Alligator mississippiensis: one gene and its partner. The protein of the gene in region 1 interacts with the protein of each later gene in a pairwise test. Links are inferred from orthologs where the notes say so. Each region holds a gene or a part of one and is shown on either strand. Other genes may lie near its edges.

Region 1 (8,012 bases):
GGAGTAATCAGAGAAAGTTGATTAAAATTGTCCATTTAGATCACCAAGCTGGAAACCTTGATTTAAAAAAACCAAACAAAAAAGAGTTTGACTCTTGTTTTGCAACTCTAAACTCCAGTTTGGGGGGTCCCCAAAGATTCACCCCCTAAAGGTCATCTCAAAGAAGCAGTGCTGGCTGGTGTGCCACATCTGGCTCTCAGGCCCTACATGGGAATGATTCTTGAGGCTGGAAAGCCTCACAGTACGTTAACTGCAACTGAGTATGCCCTTTATCAAACTCTATTTGGATGGGAATTGGAATGCCAATAAGTGTATAAAAAATAAAATTATTTTTGAGTTAAAAATTTTAAATGTACTGGCTATCCAAAAATAGCATGCATCAAGCAACGCTTTCTTTTAAAACAAATGTATTGTACAAATAAATGAATAAACTTTCTGGAGCTCATGAACTGAACTGAGTGTTTCTGGTCACCATGGCTTTAGAATTTTAGAACTAGTAGATCTTATCTTTTCATATGTCACTTATTTATAGATTGGAAGAAGAAAACAAACTTTACTTCTTTTTCAAGTACTATTTTTTTATAAATTGAACGTGCCAGTCATTGCACTTAACTAGTTGAATAAGCTGAAATGAAGAAAATAGCTTCCCCGAATCTACAGGAAAAACTACTGCTGTCAGGACTGTTAGTACTTCATAATATCTGGTTGCAGGTGGTTACTCCAGTGGTTTGATTTATTAAAAATGTTGGCAGTAAATACACACTCCCACATATCAACTCTTAAGTGTGAGGGTGTGGGTGTGGTGGGGGGAGGGGGGGGGGGGAGAGAAGAATGAGTTTGTTATAAAACTAGGCCTTAAAATAGGTTGTCAGACTTTTAGCAGATCTATTTAAAAATCAGTTCAAATAAATTTCTCATTTAAAATTTAAAAATTAAGTTACAATAAAATCTATTTATTGTTTTTATTCCTAGTGATACAAAGTGGTACTTGGAAAGGCTCTTCTTGAAAAAAGGCTGATTTCTTTAGTTACAACAGGTCTCTCTGGAGTAGGAGTAGGCCCACTGTACAAACACCATCTCACTTGGAGACATCTGGGACACCTGCTGCTCGGGCTTGTTCTAGCCACATCTTCAGAGCAGAACCTCACAGCTGTCCTGCAGTGTCTTATTCCTTACAAAACAAAGTTCAGGACAGTGTCACAGAGACCTTCCAGCCTTATAAGTCATAGGGGAAGCCATTCTTACTTGGATTTACAACCAAAGACAAACCTACGTGGTCTGGCAATCCTGCACCTCAGTCCCCAGAGAGGTACGACACTATCCCTTGTGACAAGGAAGCAGGGATTCAGCTTAATGCACAACTTCAAGCTACGGATATATCTGCAAGGCACAATGTCACGCTGTGCAGATACCAAGCTAGCTGTGGATGAGTAAGGTCAGGTACCAGCATATAGCCACATTTTGCAGGACACACCACATGAGCTTATTAGCCACGTTGAGAACAGCCACGCAGATGTACCTTCCACTGCTGGGACAGATTCCTGAACTGCAGACATGAATGCAGGAGAATGGAAGCGAGAGAGGAGGATACCTGCTCACTGAAAGTCGGCTGGGATCAGGCTAGGATGACTCACTGAAGATAGTTATGATTTATTTGGTTAAATTGGTACTGTCAAGTTATGGCAGCTGCACCCATCAGGAAAATAATCCCTGTTAAAAGCACTGTGGAGCGAACCCCACCGTGGCTACCATCAAGGGGTTTAAAAAACCTGTGTGGAATTGAGACCCACGTGTCCTCAGTTCCCATCCAGCGCTCTCTTCCCTGCACCCGTCTCACAGCACCGAGCCAAGGGCTCGTTTTACAAGCACAGAGAAGGCCTAAAAGACAAACCTGAGGCCTACGAGAAACAAGCAGCATGTCACTGCTGCTCCCTGAGAGGGACTCTGCGTGTGAGATTCGGGACCGCATCTAGACATCTGAACTCCCACTGATGCTACCCAACACAACTGCACCCGTCAGTGCACCTCGGTCGCGATTCCCTCCATCCACTCACACAAGCGTCCACTCCACAGGAGGTGGCAGGGTATTGTTAGCCTCATCTCAGATGTTTTCTTTTCACACAGGTTCCTTACTAGAAGCTGGTAACCGGCTAGGATTGAACCTTGATTAGACAGCCAGGGAAAGTGACACCTATCGAAACGTGTTGATCATCAGCAAAAGCTGGTCCGCGGGCTAGGGACCGCACCCCAGGAGGCAATGAAAGGGGGGCGCCGAGTTCGAGGGGGTAGGAGGCAGGGGAGATGGAGACAGGCACGTCTTGCCAGAGCAGCCGGAGGAGATGCTGCTGCCAGGCCGGGGGGAGGCGAGGAATGGGGCTCAGCTCCCAACAGGGGGGAGCCACGGGGGGGCGGGTCCCCGACTGCTCCAGAGCTGCCGGGTCATACCCGAGGAAGGCCGCGGAGGGGCCCGTGGTGGGCGGCAGTCAGACGGGCAAGCGGATGCGCTCCCTCACGGCGCGGGGGCTGCGCTGCCCGGCGCGAGGCGGGGGCACAGGATGCAGCCGGAGGGGCCGGGCCGGGCCGGGCCGGGCCGGGCGGGCGGGATGCGGAGGGCGGAGCCCCGCGACGCGGTGTCCGAGCGGGGCGGGGCGGGGGAAGGCCGGGCCGAGGGCCGCGCTCACTTACCGGGACGCGGTCTGGGTACTTGGCCCGGATCTTCGCCGACTCGACGCATCGGTGCTCTGCGAACAACGCGCGGATTAGTGCGGGGCCGGGCGGCCGGGGGGGCCTCCCGGGGGGCGCGGGGTGTCCGGCCTTACCCAGCGCGTGGTCCTCCTTGAACATCCACTTCATGGCGGCGCGGGGCCAGGCTCTGCCGGGGTCGGAGCCGGGGTCGCGGCGGCCCGGGGGCGCTGCCGGGGCTGCTCCGGGGGCGGCCGGGCCTGTCGCTGTCACAACAACAACAGCTCGGCGGGCGGGACTTCCGGCCCCCCCGTTGCCCAGCAACCAGAATAGGTTGCGGAGCTTCCGGCCCACGGTGACCGAGCAACGAGGAGGGGGCGGGGTCGCGACATCCGGGACCGGTGACGCGAGGCGGAGCCAAGCCGCGCCCCGCGGCCACGTGATCCACTTGCTAGTCCCCGCCCCCGGCGTCTGCTGTGGTGACGTTTACTAGTGGACGGTGCCGGTACTGGGCTGACACTGACTGGGCGGGGGGCGGGACTCGGGCGTCCTCAGCTTCAGGCGCTGATTCGCTGCTGGACGTAGGCGCGTTATTATTGGCCGCCGCGCACTGGCCCCGCCCAGCCGGAGCCACGCGCGGATTGGCTCGGTTAGGTCCCCGCGCGCCGGCCGCGGTTGCTATGGCGACGCAGCCATGGGCCGCGTGGAGCTGTTCTCGGAGCCCGCGCAGCGCACGCGGTACCGCGCCGGGCTCTGCTCCGCCGCCGCCCTGGGCCTCGCGCTGCTGGGCGCGCTCACCTACGTGCCGCCGCTGCTCGTGGCCTACCGCAGCCACGGTCCGCGGCCGGGCGGGGCTAGGGTCCGGGTCCGGGGGCCGGGGTGGGGCTGGGTGGTGGGACTGGGCGGGGCGGGGTGGGGTGCCCGCGGCTGCCGGCTGACGGCGCGTCCCCGCAGGACTGTGGCGCACGCAGGCCGCGTACCGCGAGCAGCCGGCCGTCCGCTTCCGCTACGAGGCGCTGCTGCTGGCCACGACGGCGGCGCCAGGCGGCGGCCTGGCCTGGAGCACGTTCCCCGCCTTCAACCGCCTACAGGGAGAGCGCCTGCGCGTCCCGCTCGTCGCGGTGCGTGTGGCGGCGCCGGCCGGGGCCGGGGTGTGCCCGGTTCCCCCGTCCGCTGTCGCCGCAGCCCGGCCAGGCCCCTGGGGTCAGGCTGGGCGCAGGCTGTCACCTGCCGCGGGTGGGAGGTGGCTGCAAGCGCTGCTCTGGGCACAGCCCGCGGGCCTGGCTCGGCTCCAGCCCCTTCCTGCAGGCCGGGGCCATGCATGCTCTTCCCCCTTGGAAATCCTTCCTAGTGTCGAGGGTCTGCCGCTGGGACCGTGCTGGCACCAGCACCAAGGCCAGAGCGTCATTAGGGTTCCTTGTTACTTGCAGACTAGAGAAGAAGATAAGAATCAAGATGGCAAGATGGACCGGTTGCATTTTAAACTGGAGCTTCCTTTGAAGCCAGAGGAGCAAGTGCTTGGCGTGCAGCTCATTCTGACTTTCTCCTACCAACTGCACGTGAGTCCCCGTCTGCCTGTAGTGCTCCTCGGTGCAGAGCCAGCGCCGGCTTCCCAGTAGCAATGATATCAATCAGCGGTTCTCAGCGTTTTTGTACAGGACCCATTTGTGAACATCGATGGCCAGTCCCGACCCAGTTGTGGGGCAGCCGCGGTTTCCCACGTTTTTTTCCTTTTAAAGGAGAATCCATTTTTAAAGCTTGTTCATTACCCTTTCATATATTCTTGTGACCCACTTTTGGTCACACATGTGACCCATGGGTTGAGGAACACTGATCTAAAGTGATAATAACAGAAAAGAGAAGTGATTGCAATACTCTAGTAGGTGAGACTTATGTTACGACTTATTTTTAGAACAGTGAATTTTCATTCTAATTCGCTTTTCCATTTGTACTCCTTTAATGTAAGGCTGTGGTTCTCGACCTTTTTGGAGTCAAGGCACTCCATGTTAGATTCAAAGCAACTTTCAGAAAGTGCCAGCTTTGAATTTCTAGTCATTTTTTGCCTATAGACAGAGCAGTTTTTCTTTTGCAAAGAACTTGGGCCACAACAGGTCAGAACGCTTTTAACACTCTGGATTCCTATTTGAAATCTTTGGGCTTAGCTTGTCAATTGTGTTTGCATGCCTAACAGCGATAACACTGTGTGGCAACCCATGGCACTCGTGAAAGGATCGTGACACCCAGATTGAGAATTACTGATATAAGGGAAGGTACATTTCCATTGGTTGATGAAACTGTCCAAACATGTAGGTTTACACTAGGTTTGCTATATCATTTTGCTACCAAGGAGGGTCCTTTAACACGTGTATAGTCACATCATAATGTTCTGTGATGTGTGGCATCATAAATATTTAATAATTTGAGAAAGGAGCCAATCAGAGCTTGGAGAAGGGCAAGCTGTAAAGTAAGAGTATTGGCCTCAGTGAAGGACTTGGATGATTCCTGAAGTTGTGTCTTAGAGCTTGAGCCCAGGTCAAACGCTTGTGATGGCATTACCAATTACTTGCATCCTCAACATAGCATGTAATCTGTTCTGCCATATTTATGAAGCTTGACCTCAGAAAGTGAGATGTTTTCCCTGGTTTCTGCTTTGTCTAGGAAAAGCGTACAGCTTACGTCTTGCAGATTGTAAAAATTCTTGCTGGAGGCTCATGAATTCAATGCATCTTTTTTAAATAGCTTTTAAGAGATTAAAATTTTAAGTAGGGCTGTCAATTATTAGGGAAGGGACGGGGCAACAAATCAAGGCCCCATGGTGAGGGACGGATTGGAGCAGAGGCTGGGGTGAATGAGGCCCCGGGGCCAGGGTGGGTTGTGGGACGGAGTCATAGGTGGCTTGTTCAGGGGCATGGGGGTGGTGCGATTCCCCGCTGCTGTGTGCTCCCCTGTGGGGAGCATGGGGTGCATGTGCCCCCCAGATTTGTGTATGGGGCAGAAATGGGCTGCAGGCTGGGGCTCTGTTCCCCCCTGCCTTTGCCCTGGGAACTGCACGCTGGCTGTGCCGCATGTCCCTTGCCCACCTGTGGTGGGAGGCACAACATAGTGTCACATGGCTCCTGGGCCAAAGGCAGCAGGCACAGAGCGTCAGCTTACAGTGGGCAGCCTGCCTCTGCCCTGTGCATAAATCTGGGGGACACATGCCTCCCCCACAGGTGTGCACAGCAGCAGGGAGCTCCATCCCTCGTACTTTATGTCCCTGGACAAGCCTCCCACAGCTCTGTCCCATGATGCGCCCTGGCCCTGGGGCCACATTCGCCCCAGCTCCTTCCCCACTCCCTCCCTCACTGTGGGGGCCTCAGTCTGCCCCTCCTGCCCCTTCCCTCTCCCCGTGGCCCCTCCCCTCCAGATTTACTTGCTGGGTGCTGCTCTACACACTGCTGAGTTGCATTCCTGTAGGGTTACCACACTTTGTTTAAAAAAAGAGGGCATTGGTGGGGAGGCAGGTGGTAATATGATTAGTGGGGTGGGGGCAGTGATATGCCCGTGCCCTACCTCTGCCCCTCACTCCCAAGCCACAGCCCTCCCCCCCAGCCCTGCTGCTGTCCCTTACTCCTGACCCACAGTACCTCACATCTGCCAGGGTGTTCGGGGCTGCCCACCCCCGAGGCTCTAAACCCCACACACACACCCCCAGCACCCCACACCTTCACAAATCCCCCCCTCTAACCATACAAAGTACCTGCATAATTTTGAGTTTCTCTGTGCATAATTTTGAGTTTTTAGCAGTGTGATTAAAATCATAATTAATTGCGACTAATTTTTTAGTGCAATTATATTTTTTTGATTGTTTGACAGCCCTAATTTTAAGTATTAACATAAGTTGTATTATGTTCAGAATTTACTTTATGTTCATTTGTTAAAAAAACATAACTTTGTATAGCAAAAATAATTTAAAAAAAATTGATTGTTAATATATATATAGATAGATAGATACACACACATATATCAGCTCTAGTTTTTATTAATCAGTGATTATTTTTCCTTCCTCTCTTTTTTTTCCCCTTCCCAAAAGGACACTAGCTTTGGTTTCCCCTAAGTGAGTTCTGTGGCTCTCTGTAAAATTGGTAATAGCTGTTAGGAATCTTCTGGAACCCCCAGGGGCAATAGGGCTGCACAGGGGACACTGAGAGTACACAGCAGCAAATCAAGTGATCCCTGTGCAACTGACACCAAGAATACAACACAACCTAAGAAAGGGGTGATTATGTTGTTAGAAGCCCCTTATCTTCTTGCCACACTTAGTGGTATGGCAGCTTCTGAACATAAATGGCAAACCATTGCAGAAGCCTGGAACCTCCACAGACCTATTTTTTTGCAATTCTTTCATTTGCTCTTAGATTTTAGAGTCAAGGGGCTATTTTGAGCTGCCTTGACCCATTAAACCAAGGGTGTCACAGGCCAGTATAAATGGAACCCTACATTTCCTCAGATGGCGATGTAGATTTAGCAACTTCTTGCAACTAATCCATGAATAAGTGGATTATTGCTGGCTGCACCTAGTGCAGCGAGGATCAGGAGGTGTGGGGCATTATAGCATTGTAACGTGTTGGACATGAGACAGTATAATACCAGCCTGTGGTAGGGAAAGGCTGGGGTGGGCTTGATACCACCATATTGCTAACTGCAGAGTGACTGGGGTAAGGAAGTGTAGTTAGGCAGTGGGAGGAGTACTTTTCATTCAGTTTCCTAGGCTCAAGGGGCTACGTAGAGGTAAGATTTCCTGGCAACCTTAACTCTGTTCAATGGGAAAAGTGTGGGCAATAATTGGTACCATGTGGGAGGGTCTGACATTCCTCATGCTTGGCTGGTTGTGTCCACAAATATAAGAAGTAGATTTCATGGCCTAAATGAGCCAGCTAGCTGGATGGTTTGCCGTGTCAGAACTGGTCAGGTATTTGCTTTTGTCATCTACTGCGGAGCATCATATTCTCAAACTAGACTTGCACAATTTGGTGGGTTTTATTCTAGAGCTTGTGTAAGGAGCAGTGGAAGTCATTTACTTATAATAACCAAATAAGCGCTATTTTATGAATGTGCTCATGTCTATAATTATCTGACGTTAAAAATAGAAAATATCTCCTTCCTCTCCCTCTACCCCGAAGAAATTTAACAGAATTATAAGGATAGAAAATGTGTATATATTTTTTTCTAAATTCTGTTCTCTCTCCTGTTTTTTGTTTCAGAGGATGTCAACATTTGTGATGCAGAGCATGGCTTTTCTGCAGTCTTTCTCTCCAATTCCAGGGTCCCAGCTCTACGTGAACGGAGAC
Region 2 (7,164 bases), on another chromosome or scaffold:
TGCTTATAAGGAGGCACTCCAAGATTCCCTGGGGTACCTCTCTAAGTGGGGAAAGCTGGGAAGGTACCCTGGGGGCTTGAAGGATGTATGGCTTGTTTCCCATTTTGTTGCACCATTGTGTGGTCTGAATGTGTGGCCAGGTTATAACTTAAGACATGAGTAACATGTTAATTGCATCTTGCTTGTAATGTCTGCCAGGGCCTTTAGTTAGGCAACCGAATGTCAGACATGCAGACTAAACAAGCATAAACACCTCTGTCTGGAACGTGGAACAAAATTCACATATATAGGTAACAGTGCACATACACGTAGGGCTGTACCCATAGGAAATGCTTGCGGGTTTTTTGTGTTTTGCTGGCAAATATCTGTTGTTCTTTGAACACCAGTCACTCTTTTTCATGGAAGCCCCCCTCACCCATTGCCTGATGGTGTAACTGTTCTTCTGTGTATCTAATCGTTTACAGACAGGCAGATATGCTAGGCTGTGTACATATCCATTTTATTACGTACTTCTGTTAAAGTGCATCATTAGGCATTAGGGCCCTTCCAGTTACTGTCTCAAGAAATTCACAAGTCTCTAAGGTATCTAGAAAGTGACAGCCTAAATGTGTACTTTTCCTCAACATGAAGGACCTGCCTGGAACAGCACTTACAGCAAGGAGTTTTTGATAAGCTTCAACAATGCTATTTTTCTGGGCAATGAGATGCTTAACACCGAGACATTCTTTCTGTCCGACCTACACCTCATCTTATTTAAAGAGAGGAGTGTTGCCAAGGTTCTAGAGGACAAAATGGAGTTCTCCTGTTTGCTTGTTTTGTCTTTTCTATTGACTGGGAAGGAAAAAAAAGGCAATCCTAGCATCACAAGAGGAAAAACAATTAATTCCCCAGTCTCAGTTGTATTAAATGAGAAAGCCCCAAGAACACATGCACATACCTCACGGTCTAGAAGCAATTAGATACACAGAAGAAGTTACACCATCAGGCAATGGGCGAGTGGGACTTCCATGAAAAGGAATGACTGGTGTTTAAAGAACAACAGGTATTTGCCAGCAAAACACAAAAAAACCCCAAACAACTCACAAGTATTTCCCATGGGTACGAATCTGAGATGTGGCCATTTTTCTGCTGTGAATCCCCAAATCCCTGTGTCCCTAAACAAGCTGCCCACTGTAAAGGTTAAGCTGCCCCAGACTGAAGAGAGCACAGGCAGCACCAAAGGACCTACCTGTGGGGTTGAGCAGTGCTGGGCTGGGCCCATGAAGAAAACAGCAAGCCTGCCTGAGTCAGGGTGGCCACTGGAAACACAACAGCAGAGGCCAGGGGGACAACAGAAGTGACAACAGGGATGGTAGCAGAGGTCAAATATTCATAGCAAGTGCTCCAAAGAATGGCATGCACCCCCCCAGACATCTTCCCTGCCCCCTTCCCAGCAGAGCCCACTGGCTGGCTACCACTGCCCCTCAAACAGCTCCAGGAAAGCTGTGAAACTGTGCCTGAAGACGTGAATGGATGAAAGACTGGAAGACACCTCGCATCACAAAATGGGAAGTCAGCCACAAAAACATTACACAAAATGCATATTATTTTGCTACTGGTTTCCATCGCATCTTGAATTGAATGTGTGGCACCTCCACCATACAACAGGATGAAGACTGGAAGACGCCTCACAGTCCCGGGAGCACCCCAGCCAGTTGCAGCCAGGTAGACAACCAGCTTAGCTAGGGCCAGGAGGAGGTTGACCAGGATGGTTGCCAGCTTCAGGGACATGGACTTAAGCCTTATAAGTAGCCTATCGGCTTCCCTCAGATGGGGAGGCTACAGAAGAGGAGACAACTGATCACTGGGGCCAAATAATAAAAAACAAACAAACCAAGGACGGGGGTGCTGGTCAAAGGTTACGAACAAGGAGAGACACTGAGCAGAGCACATCAGACAATGCCCACTGGCCCTCAAACGAGTCTGAGGAGCCAATAGACACTGCCCAGTGATATTCTGCCCAGAGACGGGAATGAACAAGGGTAAGGAAAGCAGCTCTGGCCAGAGTCTCTTTCCTGGTCAGAGACATGGCCAGTTCGGCCAGGGCCAGGAGAACACGACCAGGAGGTCCCAGGACTGGGAGCACCTAGAAGAAGAGGTGCAAGGGCAAGGGTCCGCACAGCCAGGACCTCTGTGGCTGGGATGAGGCTGAAATAAGTCCCTTATTCCCAGTTCTTTAAATCTGGTTTCCAAGTCCTTTCTCAGTGCCAACCCTCACACAGCTAATAGGGATGAACTGGACAGACTGAAAAGTAAGACTCCCCCTTATGAGTGGTGGAAACATGTGGCTGGGGGCAACCCACACTAGTGCTGCTGGGCATACAATAATTATCATATCTGTCACATCATTTCAAGCCTTGTACGAAGTATGATCAAAAGCTGTAAAAGCATTCAAAATACAGGATCATTTTTGCGGCAGCTCATTGATGCAGCCTACGCAAAACCCAAGACACTCTCAGGGAGCCTTAACTGACTTTGGGGCTTGCTGGCAACACTTCCTTAACTGTTCACCTCAAAATAAAAATATGATTCCACTTCGATGGCCCAGGTCATGAGCGATAGAAAGTAAATAAGAAGATGTATTTACATGCGTATTTGCATATTTTTCAGTACATGATAGTTTTTCAGCAAATACCATAACTTTGAACTCCCAGTACAATACCCCCGCTCCCCACCGCGTCTCACCAGAAGAGCAGATTGGCGCAGACGAAGCCGCCCAGGCTGCGCAGAGGCCGCTCCCAGCTCAGAGCCGCCGCCACGCAGCCGCCCAGCGCCAGCCCCGTATCTCCCAGCAGCGCCGACACGGCGGCGGCGGTAGCTGCCCCGCCGGGTGCCCGCTGGTCCCGCGCTGGAGGCTGCTGCTTTGCGGCGACAACGCTCGCCATAGCTGCGCGGCCTGGGCTGCGCCCCCCCCGGTACGTCACGGTGCAGCCCGAGCAGGTGCCACCGAGATCAGTGACTGCAACTACGCCTGCGCGCGGGAATAAGTAGCACCAAGAGGGGACCGAATGCGCTTGCGCAAAGGGCAGGCATGGCCAAGGAGGGGGAGAATGCGCCTGCGCAGCGGGCAGGTGCCTCGATGCAATGGGAGAGGCGGGGCGAGTGAGTGAACAGGGAGCGCGCGTGAGAGACAGATGCAGCGATGGGGCTGTTGAGCGGTGCAGGCAGGGTTGGGGCCGATCCGCTGGTGGCTGTGGTTGGCCCAGACCAGGAGGCCGGGCTGGGAATGGCCCGTGCTGCCAAGGTAGCCCTTCCTTGTAGCTAGTAATGATGATAATTAGTCATTAAGTATGCTAATTACTCAGAGTGAATAATAGGGATCGTTAATAATAATGATAAGGATTGAAAGAGAAGGCAAGGGCTGACTGCTTGGGCTTGAGGGCGTTTGGCCTCCTCAGTGTCCAGCTGGCGCACAAGCCTGTGTTGCAGGGTGCAGGAATGGAGAGTGGAGACTGCCCGGAACTGCAGGGTGTTGTCACTGTTCTCCCAGCACAACTGCCCACCCCCAGGGAACAGGGTAACTTCTGGGCAGTCACAGACTGGGCTGTAAGACAGCCTGGCTGGCTTCAAGAAAAAATGACAAAAAGCAAAGTGGCTTCTCTCCTCCCTTTGGCCTAGCTTGCCCTGGCCCTTCTTCAGCTCCCTGCTGGCTTCTCCCTTCTTTCTGCTCATTCACTTCCCTCATCCTTTCCCCAATCTTTCACTCTTCCCTACTAGTGTTAGAGTTGTGCTGTAGTCATGATTGTTGCAGCAGGACGCAAAAGGCAAGGATTTCCTAGGGCCAAGGATTTCTTACAGCCATTTCTTTTATTGGACCAACTGCATGGCTAGGACGGAGTGAGACAAGATTTTGAACACAAGATATTCCTCATCAAGCTTTCCATCCCAACTAGGATGAGTTTTTGCATCTTACTGAATTCAAGAATACGTCCTTAAATATACTGTGTATCCTTAGACTGCTGCCAAAAGCAGCATGTGCTCAGAAATGGAAACCAGCTATGAAATTGATTAATGCAGTCCATGCTGAGCACAGCTGTAAAAGACATGGCGCATTTTGGGCAGACAGACTGATGGATACCTACCACACTTGATCTTAGCCAAAAGGTCTTACCAAAGATAGGTTACTGCAATCTCTCTGAACAAGATATATGGTAGTGCCTATTGCACTCAGTCCTCCTCAATGCCAACTTCCTCTTCACTCCCACAGCTGAGCTGCCCCTTTCCTTTCCATTTCCAGTGACTCCTGTTTCTTCACCAGCCTTAAATGTCTGGCAAACATCACCAAAGGGGCCCCAAACAGTTCACGCAGAATCCCTATCTCCCCACTTTTTCAGCCTGTCACTTTTTTTTTTTTTTTTTTTTTTTTAAGGAGAATTTTTCATGTTCCAGGTCAAATTAGCCAGATCAGGTCCAAGTCCATTTGAATCATTCAAGAACCATATGTGGCTCTGTTACCAGCAAGTATCCTCCACCCCAGCCTAAGGCAGGCATCCTGTGTGCAAGCCCAAGCCTGGTGGCTTGGGGTTTGGATGCCCCTGAGTTTCACTTTCCCTCAGCCTGTCACATATTAGAACGGCCCTGCCCTCGATGAAGTGCAGTCAGACCAGGTTCATTAAACTGGGCCCCAGCAAAGTCAACAGCATTTCAAGGCAATGGAAATGGGAGACCCTTACCTAGGTTGCTCCTGCAGCCATATGGCTGCGGACAAGCAAAACTTGGGGGCATCCAAACCCCAAGCCTCTGGGCTTGGGCCTGCACGTAGGATGCCTGCTAAAGGATTTGGAAACATCTGAAGCTCTAGATGGGGTGGAGGATGTTTGCTGGTAGTAGGCCCACTTATGGTTCTTGACTGACTCACTGATTTGGAATTGATTTGGCTGATTTGGCTTGGAACATGAACAATTCTCTTTAAAAATAAAATAATTCAAGCGATGGTGGCCCCACAGCTCAGCACTGCTGCTCATCTGCATATAATTTTTTGGAGGATCCCAGGACTTGTGACAAGAACACTTGGTTCTAGTCATGAGTGGGGAGCTAATTAGCATGTAGATCCTTTGTGGTGGGTATTTGGAGTACAGATACATACTGGGCACATCTACACAAAACATTTTACTCAAGATGAGAGCTAATTACTGTGCAGTAAGCATCACTGTCTAAACATACAGATGCTTACTGCACAGTAATTTGCTCTAATGGCAAGTTAAGGTCCTACATGTAAATACAAGTAGCAAATTTACTCTTGATTACTTACTGTGCAGGAGTGCACATGTAGACTGCTGACCAGGAGCAAATGTTCTCTCAGCTGGGCAGAGGAGGCAGGAGATTGCTTCCTGCACGCTGGAGCAGCCTGCTGCTGGCGAGTCCAGGCGCGGACTATGTCCCCCTGCCCCAGTAGCAAGGAACTCCCAGCGTGTGTTTCATGATCGGAGATCAGGGCCTAGGAGATCCTTATCTCCCAGCCCAAGCTCTGCAGTCGCAAGGCCCAGGCTGGGAGCTCCCTCCTGCCAGGGCATGGGGACATAGTCCCTGCCTGGGCTCTGGTAGCAGAGCCCACCCTGGCAGCAGGCAGCTCCAAGGTCCGTCTGCTGGCCCCATGCTCCCTGCCAGCCCCTGGGCTTGCACCCAGGGGGAGCCTAGTGCTCCCTCTGGCTGCTGCAGGGGCCCGGTTCAGGGCTGCACAGAGCAGGAACAGTCTGCTGCTAGAAGCAGCAAATCTGCTCCCGCATCTCTGCATGTGTAAATATGTGCCCAGGAGAGTTTACTCTAGAGTACTTCAGAGTCAATTGCTCCTAGATTATTTGCACATGTAGACGTGCCCACTGGGTGCATCTACGCAAGATGCTTCATTGCACATTAGACTAATCTAATGTTCAGTAAAGCATCACTGTCTACACGTGCACAGCAATTACTGTGAAGTAGATTAGTTTAAAACTAATGTGCCAAAGTGCATGTGTAGATGCTGATTGGGAACAAATTGTTCCCAGTCAGCTTAAGCAGCAGGGGGCCACAGGGGGTAGGAAGAGCTGTCCTGGCTTGGCGGGACTCTGTCTCCCAGCCACATGAAGATTGGGACCTGTCCAGATCTCCACATGGCTGGGAGAGCTGTCCCAGCTGCTGGGCAACTGTCTCCCAGCCACATGGATATTGGGACACGACCTGATCTCCACGTGGCTGGGAGGCAGCTGCCCAGCAATGGGGACAGCTCTCCCCTGCTGAGTGAAGATGCGGACCAGCCCCTGTGCCTCCTGCCAGCCTAGGGCTGGCACCTTGGGGTGTGTGGAGCTCCACCCAGTTGCTGCACGGGGGCAGAGCAGGGCAGGAGCAGCCCTGGACTGAGCAGCTCCTGTCGGGCTCAATTTACTCCCGATGCAGGCACACATGTAGATGTGCACCTGGAAGCGCTTTAACGAGCTTGAATTTTCTGCACAGAAAATCGAGGCACATTAACTGTACATGTAGCACTGCACAACCTACTGAACAATGCTGAACTACAGGATCACCATGGCTCAAAATGCTGTTGACTCTGCTGGGGCCCAGCCCAATGAGCTATGTGGTAAATCATGAGTCTTTTGGCTTTGGACTAATATTATGCATAATGGGCACATTTACATGTGCAACTAATGCGACACAATAAACTCTGGTACACATTGCACCAGTTTATTGCTCCTGGGTGCCATGATTACATGTGCACCCAGGACCTAAGCACATTGTGCCAGGTTGGAGCAGCCCCAGCTAGTAGGGGGCGCTGTGAGTCAGCCTGCCAGCCCAGGGCTGCTTCAGTGTGGCTCAGCATGCTGTTGAGGGGCTGGCTGGGGCACAAGGATGCTCCAGTGCAGGGCTAGGTGGCAGGCAGCCCCTGCACTGAAGCACCCTCATGCCTGTAGGTGATGTGTAGGGGGAGCACAGGGAGGGGCATGTGCCCCCGATGAGATTGGCTGCTGCCGCCGCTGGCTTCTGCAGGCAGTCGCTGCTCACCTCGCTCCCCACCAGTGTCTGCAGGCAGTCCCCACTTGCTCCCCCACTGCCGCCAACACCGCCACTGGCGTCTGCAGGCAGTCCCCGCTTGCTGCTCACTACCAATGCTGCCGCCTACAAATGGTGCCCCCCACCCCAGTCTTGGGAGGC

Evidence for each region. The genes of interacting proteins can lie anywhere in the genome.
Region 2: the proteins of GABARAPL2 (region 1) and RETREG1 interact in binary tests that used the Homo sapiens proteins (3 or more experiments, as listed by UniProt). The link is inferred for Alligator mississippiensis from reciprocal best matches to the Homo sapiens genes GABARAPL2 and RETREG1.

The regions. Positions count from the first base shown.
Region 1 is NC_081833.1:77,754,666-77,762,677, forward strand, and holds the start of GABARAPL2 (gamma-aminobutyric acid receptor-associated protein-like 2), read right to left. Parts: upstream 3,012-8,012; 5' UTR 2,854-3,011; coding exon 2,820-2,853; intron 2,742-2,819; coding exon 2,686-2,741; intron 455-2,685; exon of another isoform or gene 1-454. Other genes in the region: TMEM231 (transmembrane protein 231), read left to right, coding at 3,377-3,518, 3,637-3,803, 4,113-4,241, 7,926-8,012. UniProt on the Homo sapiens protein: Ubiquitin-like modifier involved in intra-Golgi traffic. Modulates intra-Golgi transport through coupling between NSF activity and SNAREs activation. It first stimulates the ATPase activity of NSF which in turn stimulates the association with GOSR1.
Region 2 is NC_081828.1:100,661,505-100,668,668, forward strand, and holds the start of RETREG1 (reticulophagy regulator 1), read right to left. Parts: upstream 3,009-7,164; 5' UTR 2,925-3,008; coding exon 2,725-2,924; intron 1-2,724. UniProt on the Homo sapiens protein: Endoplasmic reticulum (ER)-anchored autophagy regulator which mediates ER delivery into lysosomes through sequestration into autophagosomes.